Oryctolagus cuniculus: one gene and its partner. The protein of the gene in region 1 interacts with the protein of each later gene in a pairwise test. Links are inferred from orthologs where the notes say so. Each region holds a gene or a part of one and is shown on either strand. Other genes may lie near its edges.

The links.
Region 2: the proteins of LRRC7 (region 1) and NQO2 interact in a two-hybrid assay, tested with the Homo sapiens proteins (2 studies listed by BioGRID). The two-hybrid records come from large-scale screens. The link is inferred for Oryctolagus cuniculus from reciprocal best matches to the Homo sapiens genes LRRC7 and NQO2.

What each region holds. Positions count from the first base shown.
Region 1 is NC_091438.1:102,839,653-102,843,560, forward strand, and holds the start of LRRC7 (leucine-rich repeat-containing protein 7), read right to left. Parts: upstream 2,505-3,908; 5' UTR 2,318-2,504; coding exon 2,259-2,317; intron 1-2,258.
Region 2 is NC_091436.1:167,062,772-167,066,679, reverse strand, and holds the start of NQO2 (ribosyldihydronicotinamide dehydrogenase [quinone]), read left to right. Parts: upstream 1-1,371; 5' UTR 1,372-1,433; intron 1,434-2,021; exon of another isoform or gene 2,022-2,376; intron 2,377-3,908. UniProt on the Homo sapiens protein: The enzyme apparently serves as a quinone reductase in connection with conjugation reactions of hydroquinones involved in detoxification pathways as well as in biosynthetic processes such as the vitamin K-dependent gamma-carboxylation of glutamate residues in prothrombin synthesis.

The DNA of each region.
Region 1 (3,908 bases):
TCCAATGATAATTTATCAATAGTTGTTTACTCTTTGTGTACTTGGTTGACTCTGGAATGCAATTATAATATTATAGAATGTGTGATCCCCTTTAAAATGAGAACAAAGTCTTTCAGAAAATAGAATTGTAATATCAATAGATATAATTTTGATATATCTATTAAAATCTAATGTGTCTGAAGTTTCCAAGTGTTGTTAAAAAGTATATGCTTTAAGTCATGGTTAAAGATATTAGGTTTTTACATCAAATAGTATCATACAATATTATGTATTGAAAGAAGGGCTGAGAAATATCCCGAAAAATTAACACCAGGTAGATAATATGGTTAATAACTCTATTAAGAAATAAGGATTCATATTAATTTGTATCTTTCCATTTTTAAAAAAAATCCAAAGCATAAATTCAAACACAACAATACTTTAGGTCTATGTTCTATATTTTACAGAGGAATTAAAAAAATTAAAAGCTCGTGAAAGAAAGTAGAATTAGATTTTAATTAAGAAAATGTTAATGTCAGCCTAAAGCTATGCTAAAATTCTGAATAAAACATGGCTACTGTAATTGGACCAGATCTGTTTCCTTAGGAAGTTGTTTCTAATTCTGAAGCTGCATATGTGCAAGCATAAGTGATGGAGAACGTAACGGTTGCCATGGTTAAGTACGCATCTTTTCTTGGACAGTCAAATGTTTAAAAAATGTATAAGGAGTTCTCATGATATGTTATGGAAATTGATTCTGCTTTCCTTACCACACAAGTTAGTATGATGCAATGAAGTAGGAGACAGAAATAGCCCACAGTTTAAAAAACTTCAGCCCATTAAGATGGCTTATAAAAAGTGGAGTAAAGATGATACAAGAAATCTCCAAGTCAGGTCACTCTAAATTAGTGTTGGGTAGGCAGTAGGTTCTAACTCCACTAAATTAATGAATAACCAGACCGTAGGACATTTCACAGCCCTCAGATAACACAGGAGTCCAAATGCAGTCCTTGCTAAACACACCTCCAGTATGCTTTTGTCTTGATATTCCTAAGGAAAAATAAACATTCCTACATCCCTACTTTCTCATTCTTTCCTAGCTGGGATCAGGGGTTTCCAGGAGGCAGGGACTTGAGTATCATACTGTCTTTTGCAAAAAAGATCTCCTGGTGGTTCCCTTAGAATCCGGAAGTCAGATTAATGAAGCCCAGGATAGAGGCGTGACACTGGGACTGGAGAGGTGGTAAGTTCTGTTTGGAATCCAGGCAGGTTCTGAGGCGCTGAAGAGCCCACGTGTGAAGGGGCTGGAGAACTTTTCCACCGCTTTCCCATTGGAAATGCCTGATTTTTAAATAGGGGGCCGGCTGGGGGGAGGGGTTAGACAGAAGGTGGGCAGTAAAAAAGAAATGGCAGAGGAGGTTTCAAGCCCTTCACAGCTTATCGATTTACGCATGATCTTTTCCCCCTTTATTCTCACCTCTGGCCAACTTGACTATTTTGCCCTTTTATAGAACGACTTAAGCAGCCGGGATGCTAAGCATCTCATAGGCTCAGCCTGGAACAAAGAAAACCGAGTTCCTAACACTGTATCTCTCCCGTTGGAGGGATCACGTGTCCTGCTTTCGCTGGAATGCACTCTTCTCGCCCACGCTATAAAATCTCTATTGTGCTTAGAAATTTTGCTCACACACAAACTGCTTTTCATCCATCACGAGGGCTACATTTCAACGTATACAGGTACGTATATTTACCTGCTGACCCAGTTACCCCTGCAAGTAAATTCGGTATGTCCAAGGTGTATTGGGAAAGTAACCGAAAAGAGCAGGTGGAAGACCCCCGTGTGTCACCCATCCCACCCCACCCCCCTCGCTTTTGGAAGGAGAACTCCGAAAGGAACGTGGGAGTCGCAGATGGTTCCTTTCTGAAGCCCATTCCCGGGAGTTGTGAAAGTGACCCCTTCCCTTCTCCGCCTCCCGCTGCGCGCTCCCGCCCCCGCCCCCCCTCCCCAATTCGTTCCCTTTGTGCCTTGGTGGGGAGGAGGCTGCGAGAGAGGAAAGGGAGGAGAGGGCGGAGGCGGGTCCTTTATTCAGCCCTGATGGCCGAGAAGTAGTGTAATGAAGCAATTTTGCAGCCATCTCGTCTATTATGAAGTCACACTGTCTTTAAAAGCAATCCATGCACCCCCTACCCGCCGCCCCTGTTCTTGACTCCGCAAACAGTAAAACTGCAGACCGCCAGTAGCCAATCTAACTGCCCGCGAGCCAGGGTGCCAGGATCACCTTAATGCTAATGTGCTTCCCTTCTTCTTTCCTCGTAGGATCCGAACCAAGTCCTGCATCCTAAACGCCTCAGAAAGGAGGATGCAAAATGCTGAAGGGGGCCCCGGCTGGATGGGGAATAGTGCAGGTTCACCAGCTTCTCAGTGCAACACAAAGGAGATGTGCAGGCAGGAGTTGTGTAGCTCAGCGGAGGGGGCCATCATTCTCCCTGACTCCCAGGGAAAGCGTTCACCCTACCGCCACCCCACTTCTCTCTGTCCCCCAGCCTGTCATGGTCCTTCCTCCACTCCATCCCCACAAACCCCACCCTTTCCCACCGAACCCCAATGGCATAAAGATCTCCTAACTGCATTTGTCAAATCCATACGAATTAAGACAGTCATCCAACACCTTCCACAATAAAGGGACAAGTGCAACCTGCCACAAGTGTGTGTGTGTGTGTGTGTGTGTGAGAGAGAGAGAGAGAGAGAGAGAGAGAGATTAAACACGCGCTTCATCCCTCAGACACCTCCTGGCAAAAGCAAACCGAGATGCCCAAGATAACGAAGAGGAGCTTTAGCCAAACCTCAGCTGGAGCAGTGGTCCCAGCACCAGCTCCCAACGTTCGCTCTTTACCTCTCCTTTTCGCAGTATGTAACCCTTTAGGGTCTCTCGCCAGCCCAGACCACTCGGTGTTCCCGTGCACCCGCCCAGTTAGCACCCAATTTCCAAAAGCCCTGAAACCTACCACATCCCCGCCGCCGCCTCCGCGGCCACCGTGCGAGCTACTCGGAACGAGCGCCCCAGCCTCGCGCCCTCCCGCCCCCGCCCCCCCCGGGGGGGAGGGAGACCCTCACCTCCGGGGAGACCCCCGCAGTCCCCTCAGTCACCGAGAGAAAGTGCCTTACTCACATGGCCGGTGGGAGAAACTGCCCATGAGGTTCCGGAGAGCGAGAGAGGTGCAGCTGCCAAGGATTATTCCTTAAAGTGCTCGGTGGTCCGCAGTGGAGTGGGCGCGAGGGTCCTCGCAGGAGGAGGAGGAGAGGGGAGGAGGAGGACGAGGAGGAGAAAGAGGGGATTCCAGGCAGGTGCCACGTTAGACCATGGTGCCGGTGCCCTTCAGGTGGACGGCTGGAGAGGTTCCCGCGGGAAGCGCCGAGGGGAAGCCCGAAGCGCCGGCGGGGGAGGCAGGAGCGCGTCCACTCCCCAGCCTCCGCCTGCCCTGCGCGCCGCGCTAGCGACCGCAGCAGCAGCGGCAGCGGCGGCGGCGGCGGTGGCGGTGGCGGAGGCGCAGCTCCTTCCCCACCCCCAGAAGGCTCCACAGACAATAAATCCTGGGCGGAGAAGAGACGAGCAGGCGAGGCGAATCGGGCACCCAACTCCGTACCACGCTCTGCCCGCAGCTGCGCCTCCGCGGGGCGAGGATCCCCGGGGGCCGGAGCGCAGTGGGCAGCTCTGAGGGGGCTGTGCGCTCCCGCCGCTGCAGGCTACTGCGGTGGTCCGAGTGGGCAGCTGCAGCCCCCGCCTGCGCGAACCCGCGGCCGGGAGGCTGGGTGTCCGTGGCTTCAAGCCCGGGGTTCGCCCGGAGTGGGGTCTTCCTCAGTGCAGCGGCTCGGCGCACAGGTGCCAGGATTGGCAGGCGAGGAGGCGCTGCTCGTGGCTCTCGCCTCC
Region 2 (3,908 bases), on another chromosome or scaffold:
CCTGGCCTCTGGCTTTGGGCTGGCCCAACTCTGGCTATTGTAGGCATTTGGGAAGTGGACCAGTAGATGGAGGATTTCTCTATATGTCTCTTTCTGTCTCTCTGCCTTTCAAATAAAATAGAACAAACTCTAAGAAGAATAGGGATTTATGTGGCTCATGGTCCTGGAGGCAGGGAGGTCCCAGGTTGAAGTGCCACATCTGAGGAGCACTGTCTCCCTGGTTGGGGTGGGGGGTGGCTCTGGGAAACCCAGAGGAGCACACACTGAGAGGGACACATATGAAAGACAAGGAGCAAACTGGGCTTCGGAACAGGCCGGCTCTCGAGATAAGCCAGTAACTCATGAATCCATGCGTCCGTTCATGGCACAGCCCTAGTCACTGCTGCGAGCGTCCACCTGGCCCCACCTTTTTTTTTTTTTTTAACTATTTATTTACTTGAAAGGCAGAGGGAGGGAGGAGAGGGGAGAGAGAGAGAGAGAATATCCTCCATCTGCTGGTTCACTCCCCAAATGGCTGCACCTGGGACTGTCTGAAGCCAGGAGCTTCCTCCAGGTCTCCCACGTGGGTGCAGGGGCCCAAGCACTTGGGCCATCTGCCACTGCCTTTCCCAGGCACCTTAGCAGGGAGCTGGCTCAGAAGTGGGGCAGCTGGGACTCAAACTAGAGCACGTACAGATGCAATGCCAGCAGCACAGGCGGCGGCTTTTCCTCGCTACATCATGGCACCAGCCCCTGGCCCCACCTCCTAACACCCCACAGTGGGAAATAACTTCAGCCTGATTTTTAGCGAGGACATTCAGACTCCAGCACCAACCTAGCTGAAGTAGGATCCCTAGCTCCTAAGCAAGAAAGTGCCTGTCCAGTGAGCCCTACGGACAGAGCAAGTGGGCTGGGTGAGGGGCTGGAGCATCAGGTCACCCTCTGACTCCTGCACCCCAGAACACGTTCTCTTTCCCCGTAATACACTGGCTCTCCCACAATATCACGCCCTCTTACACCCTAATGCACACGCTCTCTCAATCCTGAACACACACCGTCTCGTACCCCCTACTGTCTTCTCCAAAGGCAACACGGGATCTTCACAGGGACTGCTGGGGTTCCCACACTCCCAGCTTTCCAAGCAAACGGACAACACAGTCCTTTCGCTCATTTGCAGGCTGTAGTAACTTCACTGGAGGCCCCAGCAGGCGTGGGTGAAGTGGGGACGCATCCGTCCCGAATACAGCTTTCTTTTCCTTTTCACATTCTGACTGAACAAAAGTGAACTGCTGGCCTTGTGACTCATTATAGAGTGTCAGTTCAATTCCACGGGTAGATAATGCTTGTTGGAAAATTCCAGAAACGCCTTGAGCTAGCCGGCTAGAGTTGCAGAGTAACCTGACCCGCCCCAGTCAGCAGGACGGCAGAGAAATGGTTGAGACTGCAGATCCCAGGTAAAGAGGGATAGGGAGGAAGCGTGGGCTCCTAGCGGAAACAGCCAGGCTTCTATCCAGCCGGGCGCCACCAAGCGGCCCTGGCGTGCCTGGACGGCCGCCTCCCCGGGCCCTTCCGTGATTGACACATGGCTGAAGCTGTGTCCCCAGTGTAAGGTTTGGTCTCCTTTCCTTTCTGGGAGAAGCTGGGAGTTCAGGCAGTAGCCTGCTTAGCCTGCCGCCTCCCCTGGCTACTCGCAGCCTGAGTAAACCTCTCTCCGTTTCTTTCACCCGAGTTCTTATCCTCGGAGTTACTGGATTCTCTCTCTTGGGTTGGACAGGGCACCAGTGACCCACTGGCCGTGCTGTGTCTGTTTCCTTCAGACTTGCACTGAGCAAGGAATGACACCAGGTGCTGGCAATGCGAAGCCTGAAGACCCCCGCGTGTGCTGGAATGGTGCTAAGTGCGAAGGCAGGGAACAGGAGAAGTAGCGGGGGGGGGGGGGGGGGTCAAGGACGCTGTCCCGGGGGCTCTGACAGCTGAGCCCAGGTCTGCAGAAGTTACGCTGAGGAGCTTTCTTTCATCATGCAGATAGTGGGAGCTGGGTAGCCACGTGGCAGAGCCACATCTTAGCAAGCCTGCTGTGCCACACTGCCACAGTGTGGACACGGGTGGGAGCGAGACCCAAGGCGAGGAGCACCAGGCCAGCAGCTGTAAAAAGGGAGAAGACACAGGACATGGGGATTGCTGGGAGAGAGTGTGAGGAGGGAGGAATCCCGCGTGACGCTTAGGGGACTGCCCTGCACCAGCTGGGACCACAAGCAAGACAGGGAGAACGGGGACGCTCCGTGTCTCCCCAGCCCCAGACTGGTCCCGGCGTGCGGTGCCTGCTGGCAGCGGACAGAGGAGGCGGGGTTCAAAGAGTTGGCCCGGGGCCCCTGGACAAGTGGAGGAAGCGACAGGGTGAGTCACCGAGGGTGGCCACGGGGTTCTGGGCAGAGCAGGGGGGCAGTTCCGGGAAGGGCTCTCATGGGCAGGCGGCTGAGCTAGACCGAGAGAGAGGACAGGGTCCGCACTAAAAGCAGCTGGGATCCCCGGGCCTCCCACGAGGCCCGCGCTGGGTGGCCGGGCCCCAGGCACAGCCCTAGCCTGAGCGAGAGCGCTGCAGCAAGACTGCGGGATCCCTCACCCACTCCGGGGGCGTCGTTTCCTCCCGCTAACCCCGTGGCGCTAGCCGCGCCCCGGGCCCGCCTGGCAGGAGCCGGCTGCTCTGAGGTCACCGCCCCACTGCGCCCAGCAGGTTTCACCGGGAGGAGGGGCTGCGACCCTGGGGATGAGGCTGGGGCTGTGTCTGGGGGCCGGCCTAGAAAGGGTCGCCGGGGGCCCAGGCCGGAGAGAGGAGGGCCAGGGGACGCCTAGTACCTGCCCAGGAGGCCGGGCTCCCAGTGTCTGCCACAGCGCCCTCTTGACTTGATTCAGCACTAGCCTCCGCCTGTAGTTCCGCTCGCTCCTCGGTTTCCAGTTTCCAGCAGAGGGGGCCGCCGCACTTGGCAGTCGCCGGGGAGCGCGCGGCGCGTCTTCCGCCGGGAACAGGAGCAGGGTCCGGCCCCGCGAGGAGCAGGGACCCGCGCTGCATCCGTGCACGCCCAGGTCCACGTACGTGCTGGGCCTGGCACTGTCCGCGGAAACCACCGCGAAGGCCACGCTCACGCACGTGGACCGGTCGTACCCGCCCAGGTCACAACGAGACGGGCGGCGTGCGTGGTCGGCGCTCAGCAAGTCCAGCAGCCCCGCGTTCTGCTGGCGCTCCAACGTTTGGTTAGATGTTGGAGACCCTACCCATACCCTAGAGCGCTTCTACAACGCATTCCCAAGTAAGCCCCAGATGTCAGTTCCCCGAGTGCAACCGCAACGTGGTTCACATTCTCCTAGATCTCAAAACCCTGCTCCGTGCGTCTTAAGAGGTTTGGGCTGGCCAGTCACTACAACTGTTCTCAAAGAAGTCAAGATCTAAATGATTGATAAGGCAGAATGATAGGGAGGGAGGGGCACCATCTTCCATCCGCTGGTTCACTCTCCGAGTGGCCACAACGGCAGGAGCTGGTCCGGCAGCGGCCAGGATGCTGGGAAGCCATCCCCTGTCCGGGGTGGGTGGCAGGGGCTGGTCCGGCAGCGGCCAGGATGCTGGGAAGCCATCCCCTGTCCGGGTGGGTGGCAGGGGTCCAAGCACTTGGCCATCACTGCCTTCTTGGGCCTGCTAACAGCTGGATGGGAAGTGGAGCAGCAGGAACGACCGCGCTGGCACACGGATGCCTGGCACGGGCAGCAGGCTCTCTCCCTGCGCGGCAGTGCCGGAGCCCATCTTCCTGGCAGCTCCCTCTGGGTCCCGGGCTGAGCGCCCTGGGGTGGGGTGCCGGGAGCACTCCCCCACTTCTGCACCCTGTGTCCTGGGCAGTGGTGCCCTCGTTCCGGTAGATGCACTTACACGGACACGT